Caenorhabditis elegans: one gene and its partners. The protein of the gene in region 1 interacts with the protein of each later gene in a pairwise test. Each region holds a gene or a part of one and is shown in the gene's direction. Other genes may lie near its edges.

Region 1 (3,083 bases):
ATTATATGGACAAATTAAATATTATTAACTTTAAAAAGACTTTTAATTTTATTATTTTCCTTATTTTCTTCTTCACTTCCTTGCAACGCACTCTTTAAGTCATTCTGGAAATTTGTTTTGTTGAACTCGATCTCGAATTTAAGCAGTTCAATCATTTCGTTTTTCTGAAATTATAGTTTTAAAATTTAATTCCATGTAAGAAATCCGAACCTCTTTAATAATCTTTCTGGCTTGTACCAAATCATCAACCAACTCATTTGCATCTTCCTCCGCAAATTCCAATGATTCCAGTTTTTGGCTCAATTCCTTTATCACCTCGTTTCGCTCTTTCAGTTTTCTCTGAAGTCCACCAATTTTTGCCACAAAATCTCTTTGATGCATTCGAATTTTGATTAAATGATTGCTGATTTTACTTCTCTCTATTTTCATCTCCTTCTGGTGCTCTTTAATCATTTCCTCACTAGACTCGCACATTAATTTTAGTTGGTAATGAGCCTGCAAACGTTGTATATAAAAAAGAATGTCAAGATGCCTGCCTACATGCCTGCCTACCACCTAGCTCTATACATTTTGGCATGCATTCAGGAATTTAGTGAACCTCTAGAAAGTAAAACTGGGAAAATTTCCAAAGAAAATTTAGTTAATTTTCACCAAATTTTCGAAAGTTTTTTTTTTTAAAGTCAAACATTTTCCAATAAAATATTTCGCATTTTTTTCAAAAAAAACACATTTTCCCAAAAAAAATTCGATCCGTTCTACTGTCTATTTTAAAATTTAATAAATCTTCTCAGCTTTAAACACCTCTTAATTTTTTATGAGGGGCTCCAATAAATAGCTTGAGGGGAACACGATTATTGGAATTTACTTTTGAAATTGAGAAATTTTCAGACTCTCGAGAATTTCATTGATAATGCTAATAAAATATTCAAAAATATAAAAAAAAACAACAAAATTTACCTTTGCCTTTTCCTCAACTATTTGCAACATTAACAGAGCTACAGTAACCGCGTACAGTAACCCGAATAGAATCGGGAAATTATCCATTGAAAGTGTCATATTCCCGTCTTGAAAGATATTAGTTAACCACGACATTATAAAATAAAAAGATTGTCTTATAAGATAAGTAACAAACGAATGAATGAGCCGGTCGTCTTAGTCAACGGGTCAAGTGTTTCAGCCGCGTTCGTGAATCAATAAGAGCTGGAATTGCCTCCTGGCATTAGTGACTGTAGTCCACACTTTCTACTGCCTAAATTATCCATACAGGGCAATGTGATCAATTGATCAATAGGTTATTAAATATAACTATTTTATGCAGTGCAGTGTTTCATCCTTTTGGGAAAATTCACGGAATCAACAGGTGAATTTATGTTTTTTAGGGTGTGAACACAAATTGTTAATGTTATAATTGTCCTGGAGAGCCTTTAAACATTTTACAATTAATATATTATAAATAATACGTAGAAAATCAGTATTTGAACAGGAAAGTAGACATTTTAAAAATTTGAAATTTGAAAAACCGCCACAAACTCAAGCAACGACACTCCGAGATTACGAATCGCGCGTTGTTTACCGTAAATTTACACTAATTTTTGTTCTCTGAAATTTTTTTTTAATTGAAAAGCCGTCCATTTATTTATCTTTTTTTGTCAAATCCTTGTGTTTTACGTGGATGTTTGCATTTGTTTTTTATTTATTTAATTTCGAATCACTCAACTTTTTATTGATTTCTGTTCCTCAGGTGATGGCTGCGCGTAAGCTGATCGCACGTATCAACCCAACGAACAGTGCTCTTTTCGTCTGTGATCTTCAAGAGAAGTTCGCGTAAGTTTTGAAAGAAACTAGTTTATGAGCAAAAATAATTTATTTAATTATTTTCAGGTCAAATATCAAATACTTCCCAGAAATCATTACAACTTCGCGTAGATTGATCGATGCTGCCAGAATCCTGAGTATTCCAACCATTGTTACTGAACAATATCCAAAGGGTCTCGGACACACAGTTCCAACTCTCAAAGAAGGTCTCGCCGAGAATACTCCGATCTTTGATAAGACGAAAGTAGATTTTCAGATTTTTGTTCATAATTCAGTCTTATTCCAAAAATTTCAGTTTTCCATGTGCATTCCTCCAACTGAAGACACTTTGAAGAAAGTTCAAAATGTGATCCTTGTCGGAATCGAAGCACACGTATGCGTTCTTCAAACTACATACGATCTTTTGGAACGTGGCTTGAACGTTCATGTCGTGGTGGACGCTGTCAGCAGCCGCAGTCACACTGATCGTCATTTCGCTTTCAAACAGATGGAACAAGCTGGAGCTATCTTGACAACTTCTGAAGCTACCATTCTCGGACTTGTCGGTGGATCGGATCATCCAAAGTTCAAGGAAGTTCAGAAGTTGATCCTTACTTCAGCCCCTGATACTGGCCTCGTCCCGTTGTCGAAGCTCTAAATGTTTTCCGTTTACGGCTTCTTTTTTTGCCATGTAGATTTGTGTTTAGTACCTCACTATGTGTAATTACAGCATTTAACCGGTTTTCGTCCCATAAATTATGGTGGTAATTTGAGTCTTTTTGCAAAACGTTTCTTTCATCGCATCTCCTTGCCACCGTTTGACCATCACATCATGTTTCAAAAGTGTGGGTAAACATTCCGAAATTCGCGGAAACGAAATGCGCTTTGAAAATTTCAAGTGGCTCACACAGTAGAGCCCGCTAGTCCATTGACCTCCAATGTTTGTAGTTTGCGAAAATGATGGTGACGATGGTGCAAAGAAAACTTTCAGTTTTTTTTTTCAGAAAAGTCAGGTTTGTACAACACACATGCCACCACGTGGCAATGAAAAAGGCAGAGGCAACAAATAAATTGGAAGCAGAGACAATAAAATGGGTGGGTGATCTGATCTGTTGTGACGAACAAAATGATGATGATTGGATTCGCGAGCTGTTGATGAAATATGCAGAAATGAATCGAGAAAAAGAGAAGAAAAATACCCAAATATTCAAACAGACAGACGAAAAAAATGTTTTCCTGATTCGAGGAACGTGTTTTCTAAGTGGAACGACGGCAAAATATGGGTTGGT
Region 2 (2,440 bases), on another chromosome or scaffold:
CATCTTACAGCTGAATTCAGATCCCCTCTAGTCACCATGTCGGAACTCCACGTGGATCCATTCGAGCGAATCAAGTCCGTCGGGTCAGTGATGCCACATCAAGAACTCGCCATTGTCGATGAATTTGGAGTCCCCGTGCCAACTGGAGCTAAAGGAGAGCTCTGGTCTCGTGGCTACTCGACTATGCTCGGCTACTGGGCCGACCACGACAAGACCAACTTGGCAATTACACGTGATCGCTGGTACAAATCTGGAGATACCGCCACGATGAACGAGGATGGAACTATCAATATTGTCGGTAGAACTCGTGACATGATTGTGAAGGGTGGTGAGAACGTCTATCCGACCGAAATCGAGCAGTTCTTGCATAAGTTGGACTATGTCGCTGATGCTCATGTAAGTTTGGGAGCTTCTATCTTTGCTCTTGGGGGTCCAATCAAAAAGTTTATTAAAATATCAAAAAGTTTATTAAAATAATCTACAGAAAATTCTCTACATTTACTCAGTTGGCAACTTTTTGATACTTGTAACAACTGGCGAGTTATTCTCGTTTAAATCAAGGGCACCATGACTACTTATGGCCTGAACTTCAAACTTATGGCCTAACTTTTCAACAAAAAAATTCCAGGTCGTCGGTGTGCCAGATGACAGGTACGGAGAGAACATCTGCGCCTGGGTGCGTCTTCGCGTTGAGGATGAAGGAAAGATCACCGCGGAGCACATTAAGAAGGCTTGTAAGAGAGGAGTAAGTTATTAATCCATTATTTTAAAATATACAGTCGAAATTTCCAGATGGCTCACTACAAGGTTCCAAAGTACGTGCTCATCAAAAAGGAGTCCGAATTCCCTCTCACAATTTCCGGAAAAGTCAAGAAATTCGAAATCCAAAAGATTTCCAAAGAGCTGTTGGGTCTCGGAACTGTCAAGTCTCACTTCACAGAAGCTGTCGACAATTAAAATCGGGTTGAACATATTTCCTATATTTTAAGTTGCCTTTTCGCTGGGATTTCCTTGCTTTTTACGGTCTAACCGCTATAATTGTAATAGTGACATATTTAACCGGGTTTTTATGTACTCTTCCGTGTATTTGCCATGTATTTAATTGTGAGACTTGTACAGAAATTGCGATTTTCTCTGAATAAATAGCTTTAAAATTCAAAATTCCCTCCAAAAGTGTACAACGACACTCCGAAATGACGCATAGTCGCCTTGCTTACCGTAAATCGACACACATTTTTTTAAAATCGAAAACATTTTTTTGTTGGATTTTCTTCGTTTTCCCTCGATTTTCTTGGAATTTTGTGAGTTTTTATTGTTAAAATATTTTAAAATTGCATTAATGGTATTGTTTTAACTGTATTTTTCATATGATTTTCGATTATTCCAGCAAAATTCTTGTAGAAACGACTTTTCATCAAAATTTTCTAAAATCGATTGGAAATTAACACGAATTTTACTGAAAATGAAATTTATGTGCAAATTACCGGTGAATTCAGCGAGAAAACATCAAAAATTCTGGAAAAATAGGCTTTGAAAAAATTTTTGTGAGGAAAAATTTTAAAAAAACTTGATAAATATCATCTTTTCCCCTCATTTTTCCTGTTTTTCAGCAATTCCTCTCAAATTTTACCCGATTTTCTTTCCAGAAACCATGGCAACCTCAACATCCACCAACCCAAACACACTTCTCCCACTGGAGCTCATTGACAAGTGCATCGGCTCGAAAATCTGGGTGATAATGAAGAACGACAAGGAGATCGTCGGCACTCTGACAGGCTTCGATGACTACGTGAACATGGTTCTGGAGGACGTCGTCGAATACGAGAACACCGCCGACGGCAAGCGAATGACCAAGTTGGACACGATTCTTCTCAACGGAAATCACATCACGATGCTCGTGCCGGGAGGAGAAGGACCAGAGATTTAATTGATATCTGTGAATATTGTGATTTTCTAATACTTTCTATTTTGCCACGAATCTCTCCGATTTTGAAATAAAAATTGAAGGAAATTTTGGAAAATTTTATAACAGGAACAAAACAGAATGAAGAAGCAAAAAGAAAACAATTTTTTTTAAATCTGTTTTTTCAGCATTTTTCTCTTTTTTTTCTTATCACTTAACAAGTACTTGTACATCTTGCAGGTCTTGTAGGATCATATTCAGCACGTGTTGAGAATAGATAGCAGCTTTCTGATGCTCTAAAAAGGCTTAATTGTTCAGATCGTCCCTGGAAATAATTTTTCGAATTCTGCTCGAGCTGAAAATACAAAAATAATCGCAGAATCGCCCAAAATACGTGAAAAAGTGAAAATACTTATCGTGTTTGATAGCAACCTTAATTTGTCCTGTTAAATGACAAAATTCTTAAGTTGAACTGTATTTATTTTAAGTTTTCTGCCAATTTTTTCCAAAAAATCAAAAAAGTTTCCCGATAGTACT
Region 3 (3,678 bases), on another chromosome or scaffold:
CGTTACAATTAGTTCTGTAGCCATGTAATTACAGATCAATTGGGTATCACTTTCAAAACAGCACAGTAGCTGAAACTTCAAAATAAAAAAAAATGTCAGCTCGGTTCATACTTGCAAAGCTTTTTTTAGTTGTATGAAAATGACTTTTCATTGTAATACTAGATATACTGAAATGAACATCAAAATATCTCGAACAACCCCAGAACACAATAACCAAAAAATTCAGAATGTTAAAATTCGTCAATGTCTGTGAATCAGCCTGAGAACTTGTACAATTTATGTGGATCATTACCCAGACGCGAAACTTTGAGGTTTTTGGGTACTTTGAGGGTAGAACTACAGTTCCCGGTCTCGACACGACAGTGTTTAAAAAATATTTGAACTTCCAACTTCTCGTAGCTGCGGAGTTTTCATAGTTGCAAATAATGATAAAAACTATTTAAAAAATCATTGAAAATATCGCAGCAATGAGAGTTTGAATTTGCAGTACTCTTGAAATTTCACATCTGTATAATATTGTAAAATGATATATCAAAAGAAGCAAACAATTGTTGAAACATTATTTTTTAGAGTATCACTCTAGACTAAACCTGTTTCAATTTCTTGACAGCACAATCCAGCACATATTCACTTGTTGGATCAACCATTCTTGCAAGAAAAACCTCTCCGAAGGCTCCAGATCCGATTTTTCGATACAAGATCACGTCCTCGTGTGGAATAATCCATGTTGCTCGGAGGACTGGTTTACGAAGATACACATTCCACTGAACGCATACTGGTTGCGCACGAGCACTGAAATATCTTACATAATTTAATTAATCATTAAATTAAAAAAAAAAAGAATAAACGTACAGATGGACATCAATCAAATCTAAAACAGTGTTTTCCTTGAGTGTTGGCATAAAATAAAACTGTTTTGCACCTTCTTTGTCTTGACTTATTGGAACATGAACAAATCCAGCTTCTCTTTTTACAGAAATTATCAGAAATTGTCCACCCGCATTTTCACGTGGTTCCGCTCTTCTCAGGAGATAATCACCTACGTAACGAAGTGACAACTCAGCATCGACACGTGGAATTATTCCATGGTAGAATTGACAGCCTTTAATCTAAACAAGAAATAAATGTTGATGTCTAGAAAAAAAATCCAAAAAAACCTCTGGAGTAATTTGAACGACTGGAACATCAACCATAGGCTCTTTCGGCTTCTCTTCTGGCGGTGGAGGTGTTCCAGGTGGATTTGCAGATTCTTTTGATCCTTCTCTTGATCCTCCAGTTGTTATTCCATTTCCAGGTAATACTTCTCTTACAACAACATCTTTTGATTGTTCTGTGTTTGGTGCTTTCATTGAAATTGCCTTCGTTGACATCTCCATTTTTCGATTTTTGATTCTGTTTTCTTTTGTTTGGCAGTTGAATCAATATTGTAAACCTTTTGAAAAGTTGAAAATAAATTGATTTTTGACTCAATTATCAGGTATTTTTGAACAAATTTATTTGTTTCTTTTCTTTTAAATTGGGGTTACGTTAATATTTAAATTTGTTTCTTTTCTATTTCCGAGTAAAACGTTTATTTTAAGTTTAATAAATGGAAAACCTATCATAATTACAATTTCAAACCAAAATGCTGTTTCCTACAAGTTTTATATCTTTGTTATGATTTAGTTATTTTATTTAAATATTTTATTCCCCAAAAACAATCAATATACCAAGACTGAAAAATTTCAAAAATCTAAAGAGATTTTGAGTATTTACTCTATTAGGCCATGTTTATAAGTTAGGTAACTGAAATTTTAAGCAAAAGACGCAATCCAATTTCGCTTTTTGGAAGGTCAAATTTTGTTTGACAAGTTTCGCAAATAAACTCGTAAAAATTTTCCAATTTAAAATATTTTCTCGAACTTAAACTCTATATTTATACGTAACATGTCCCCAAGACCTTATTTTTTATGTCCAAGTATTTCAGTATAAAACGTCCAATTCTCGCCACTCTCAATCAAATTTCGCAAGAAATCGAATCAATCGCCTTTTGAATCGGCAAAGCAGCAAAGAAGAAAAGGAACAGAAGAATGGGTTCCGAGAAGATGATCGAGATTTGTATCGACATGGAGGAAGGAGAACCACTTGGTGCAACTCCAAATGACAAGCTCGTTATCACTAAGATTCAGGCTGGAACCATTTCTGAAGGAAAATTGAGAGTGAGTTTTTGAAATGTTCAAATCTTTTTTATACAGAATGATTTACAGATTGGTGACCAAGTTAAAAAAGTGAACGGACAAAATTGCAAGGATTGTAACGACTTTTTCCGTGCGCTTCGCTTTGCTGCTCCATGTGCAAAAATCACGGTGAACCGTGACGAAAAAAAGGCTGAAGAGTTAGAAGCTCGTGTTCATATTCCTGAGGATCGTGCAAAGATCATTCAACGCCGTGAGGGATACGTTTATGAGTTGGCAACCCTTGTCTGGGTTCAAAATGGACCAAAACTTGGTTTGGGAATCAAGCATTTCCAGGTAAGAAATTAAAAGATTGGAGGAAGTTCATATGTCTATTTTAGAACCGTGTGCTTGTTTCACGTGTTGATCCTGGATCACTAGCCGAGAAGTGTCTTGTTCTTGGAGATCATTTGTGTGATGTTGATGGAATTCCAGTCAGTGACAAGGATGTTGCCAGAGATCTTCTCGTCAAGAATATCCAAGAGAAAGGAAAAGTCACTTTTGTCGTCGAGCGCCCTGATTCGATCGATGCCAAGCAATGGGCGAAACAGGCGTTGGCTACCAATCTCATGCAACCACCATCAGTCCAAATGAACGAAGATGTGAAAGGCATTGCTTCGCAATATCGTCAAGCTCTTCCAGGACTGAAGCCTCCAGCGAAGAGTGCAATGTCTACCGGTCCAAATGCTCGCCGTGTTTCTATCATCGAGCAAACTCAAACTCACGAGATCGGACATGATCATGAAGGAAAAGCTCTTCGCAAGGTCAAGTGATGATAAGAATTCAGCAAGATGTCATGAATAGCACTGTCTAGATTGAATAAAAATGTTTTGATATTTGTTTTGTAAGGTTTATGAATCAAAGTTCTCCTGAAGTGTTATGTGCCCATTGGAGTCATCTTAACTTTTTAGAGACAAAACTTCTTATAAACTTTTTATACTTTGTATGTTGTTTCCTTGGACTATTACTGGCTTCCTTTTAATTGAAACTGGGTAAATTTACCAGCTACCACAATTTTAGAATTGTTACAATTTAGAATTGATTTTCGAAACGAAGGCAATGATAGGGGTATTGCTCCTTTGTAGAACATATTTGGTGTATGTTCTAAGGAGAGATACTTTTTTTTACTTTTTCAAAAATCACGGTAGCCGTTTTGTTGCAAATTTTGAGTTCTTTCAGATTTCAAAAAATCTACCAATTGTGTTCTAACAACTAAAACTTTTAAACTTTATCTAAAAAAAATAGAGGGCCCGGGCCTCGGGGATGGAGGTAATTTATAAATTTCTGAAGATGGAAGAACCTGCAAAACACGGATATAACAGTGACTAAGAAAACGATGATATGTAATTGGAAGTTTAAATATGACGGTAAAATGAATTCAACATTGAATCAATGAAAGAAAACAATTTATTTTTGAGAAATCTAATTTTTATTCTCTCCCAAATTATTCAAGTAGTCATCAAAA
Region 4 (2,927 bases), on another chromosome or scaffold:
TTATATTATTGACATGTCTATTCTTCTTTTTTTTCTCAAAGTGGTCCTTTGATCTGTTTCTCAAAACTCTGCTCCAAAAATCATCACTTTTTCGTGTTACAAATAAAATAATATACTTTTATTATTTATTGGGTTTTTACGAGTTTTTTATGTTGATTTTAAGTGTAGAATTTTCATAACGCGAATACATTATTTTAAAGGAGCATAGGCGCTGGTGATCGCTGGGTCTCGCAACGAATACAGTACCCCTCAGAGTTACCTTGCGCGGCCTCGTTTTGTGTTTAGTTTTATATTTCCATTTTCAATCTTTCTTTTTTCTTCTTTTCTTTCAAATCAATAAGAAAAATAGTTAATTTGCACAACTTGAAAGTTTTCTATTTGAATTCTCTGTATACAGATATTCAGTAACGCCCAAAAATTCTTTGAATTCCAGATGTCGTTGAGTCGCTTGTCATCTCCTCAGACATTCTCTCGCGTTTTTATCGTTGCGCGTGGAGCTGCAACAGGACGTGAGTTTATTTAAATGCATTTTCTCATATATAATTTTTTGTTTCAGATGCTGTCGCCCCATCATCAGATAACAGCATCGGGTATTTTGAGAAGATTGCTTATAGATTCAAAGGTAAGCATTATATTGTTTTTTTTTGTTATAGTTCTTTTACAGGAATCCCACTGCCGACGGAGACTGAAGCTCCAAAGTCCATGTTCGATGCCTGCAATAAAGAATGGTCCGCTCCTGAACTCCTTCCATCCGTTCCAAAAGATTTCAAAGAGCACCCAGATCGGGATTTGACCAATTATCCATACCCGTCTCGTCCAATGTACCCACCAAAGACTCGTCTCTTGATGATGCCCGATTCGTGGTTTACCGCATTCCAAAAGGTTACTGGTACCTCTGGTCCATATCTTTTCTTCGGAGGACTCTTTGCTTTCCTCGTTAACAAGGAGTTGTGGGTGTTTGAGGAGCAAGGACATATGACTGTTGGATGGATTCTTTTCTATCTTTTGGTTTCCAGAACCGCCGGCTGTTAGTGACTGAACATTTAAAAATAACTTTTTTTTTCTTTTAGATAAAATCGATGCTGGTCTTTACAAGGACTATCAGGAACGCGTTGGTTTCTTCAAAGGACTTATTCAAGAAGATTTGAAGGAAGCTGTTGATTTCCGCAAAACCTCTGCCGCTCAAACCGCTTCATTTGCTGCTCTCAAGGAAGGCATGCCAACTTCTCTCAAGGATTCCATGCAGCTACAGCTGGAGGCCGCTTATAGGTGAGCTAAACAATAAAACGCGCTCTATCGCAGTTTTTTTGAAAAAAAAACCGCGAATTTTGTTACTTGAATATAATCTCCTAATCTCCTTTTTATTCTGTATTTTAAAATTATTTTTCAGAAAGAATGTTCAAACCATTTCCAATGAGATCAAGCGTCGCATCGAGTATTTGAAAGAGACCGAGGAGACAAAGGCCAGATTTGAGCGCGACCAATTGCTGAAGTTGATCAATGACAGTGTCGAGAAGCAAGTCTCCCAGAAAGACTTCCAGGAAAAATTCCTTCAAAACGCCATTCAACAACTCAAGGGTATTGCTGTCTGAAGATCTCTCTTTCACCTTTTTCAGTGTTTTTGTCGTTTGTTAAATTATTCTCGCACACAACATAAAACCAGTGATGATAATAGTGGCGTTGTTTTCTTTCTCATAAAATTTTGAATTTTCAATCGTGTTATTGTGATTATCGAACAGGTTTCAACCTTATTTATCAATCCTACCTATATAATGATTTCGTCGTACGAGCCAGAATCTAATTGTCAATATAAAATATCACATTTGATAGAAATGGAGCAACAAATTCAAATGGACGAACAGGAAAATGATGAATCACAGGGAAACGATGATCAACAAAATATGTCGATGAGCAGTTCTGAACTTCATACTGTAAGACATATAAGAAATAATTCGTATCATATTTCGGTTTTCAGATGCAGGATGATCATCCAGGGATTCTATTAAAAACCAACACTCGGATGAGCATTACCGTCAAAAAGTTACATGTTAGTTTGTCAAAAAAAATTGAAGTTTCAAAAACTTGACATTTTTCAGGTTTGTGGAGAGTGGAAGTGGTTACAAGGAGGTGAAGATACCTGTGGAATTTGTCGAATGGAATTTGAATCGGCGTGCAACATGTGCAAGTTTCCAGGAGATGATTGCCCATTGGTTCTGGGAATTTGTCGCCATGCTTTTCATCGTCATTGCATCGATAAGTGGATTGCAGCACCAACTAACCAACCAAGAGCTCAATGCCCGCTTTGCAGACAAGACTGGACAATTGTAGAGTAATCTACGTTTTTATCTTGTGTTTCCATTTTTTCATGTCAAATGATACTCAGTTTTCCTCATTTGTATTTTAAATTAACAAGAACGAAGACTTTTTAAATTGAAATATTCATAGTGAGAAATTCATCAGAAAGTATAAAAATATCGCAATTGAAATCGAATTGTAAATTGAGCAAGAATCATTGAAAAGGAAGAAGAAATAAAAGACCGGCGAGCACATGAAGATCAGAGCGAGATGAGAATAATATTTCCAATGTAATCAATACCCAACAATGACTTTCTCTCCACCTTCCGGATGCTGACAACGACCACGCATCATCTCGTAGACTTGTTGTTTGATCCATGCACGTGTACGACCAATGTATTGCCCGGTTTCCTGAAAATGAATTGATTTGGGAGGATATGCAGATCAATAATACATACGCGATTGAAGATCATCATAGAAACATCGGAGAGCTTATCGAGAAACTCGTAGACTTGCGACACGTCGTATGTGACTGGAGCAGCTGATTTCTTGGAAAGGAAATCTTCAAACATCTTGCAAAGAGCTGAAAAATTCCATTAAACATAATAATTCTCACGGAATGGTTACCATCA

Evidence for each region.
Region 2: the proteins of marb-1 (region 1) and lsm-5 interact in a two-hybrid assay, tested with the Caenorhabditis elegans proteins (one large-scale study listed by BioGRID).
Region 3: the proteins of marb-1 (region 1) and smz-2 interact in a two-hybrid assay, tested with the Caenorhabditis elegans proteins (one large-scale study listed by BioGRID).
Region 4: the proteins of marb-1 (region 1) and apc-11 interact in a two-hybrid assay, tested with the Caenorhabditis elegans proteins (2 studies listed by BioGRID).

The regions. Positions count from the first base shown.
Region 1 is NC_003282.8:12,207,669-12,210,751, reverse strand, and holds marb-1 (Isochorismatase domain-containing protein 1), read left to right. Parts: upstream 1-1,741; 5' UTR 1,742-1,744; coding exon 1,745-1,824; intron 1,825-1,881; coding exon 1,882-2,059; intron 2,060-2,110; coding exon 2,111-2,452; 3' UTR 2,453-2,564; downstream 2,565-3,083. Other genes in the region: F35G2.3 (uncharacterized protein), read right to left, coding at 15-164, 211-495, 958-1,044.
Region 2 is NC_003283.11:15,568,729-15,571,168, forward strand, and holds lsm-5 (U6 snRNA-associated Sm-like protein LSm5), read left to right. Parts: upstream 1-1,651; coding exon 1,652-1,927; downstream 1,928-2,440. Other genes in the region: acs-2 (Medium-chain acyl-CoA ligase ACSF2, mitochondrial), read left to right, coding at 21-396, 629-745, 793-957.
Region 3 is NC_003279.8:6,872,076-6,875,753, reverse strand, and holds smz-2 (PDZ domain-containing protein), read left to right. Parts: upstream 1-1,996; 5' UTR 1,997-2,069; coding exon 2,070-2,198; intron 2,199-2,246; coding exon 2,247-2,510; intron 2,511-2,554; coding exon 2,555-2,986; 3' UTR 2,987-3,147; downstream 3,148-3,678. Other genes in the region: T21G5.1 (Tyrosine-protein kinase), read right to left, coding at 591-792, 853-1,109, 1,158-1,376; T21G5.12 (Lipoprotein), read right to left, coding at 3,636-3,678.
Region 4 is NC_003281.10:4,593,328-4,596,254, reverse strand, and holds apc-11 (Anaphase-promoting complex subunit 11), read left to right. Parts: upstream 1-1,830; 5' UTR 1,831-1,832; coding exon 1,833-1,931; intron 1,932-1,975; coding exon 1,976-2,047; intron 2,048-2,096; coding exon 2,097-2,333; 3' UTR 2,334-2,392; downstream 2,393-2,927. Other genes in the region: asb-1 (ATP synthase F(0) complex subunit B1, mitochondrial), read left to right, coding at 434-509, 557-622, 665-1,027, 1,071-1,269, 1,391-1,592; erh-2 (Enhancer of rudimentary homolog 2), read right to left, coding at 2,590-2,706, 2,754-2,878, 2,923-2,927.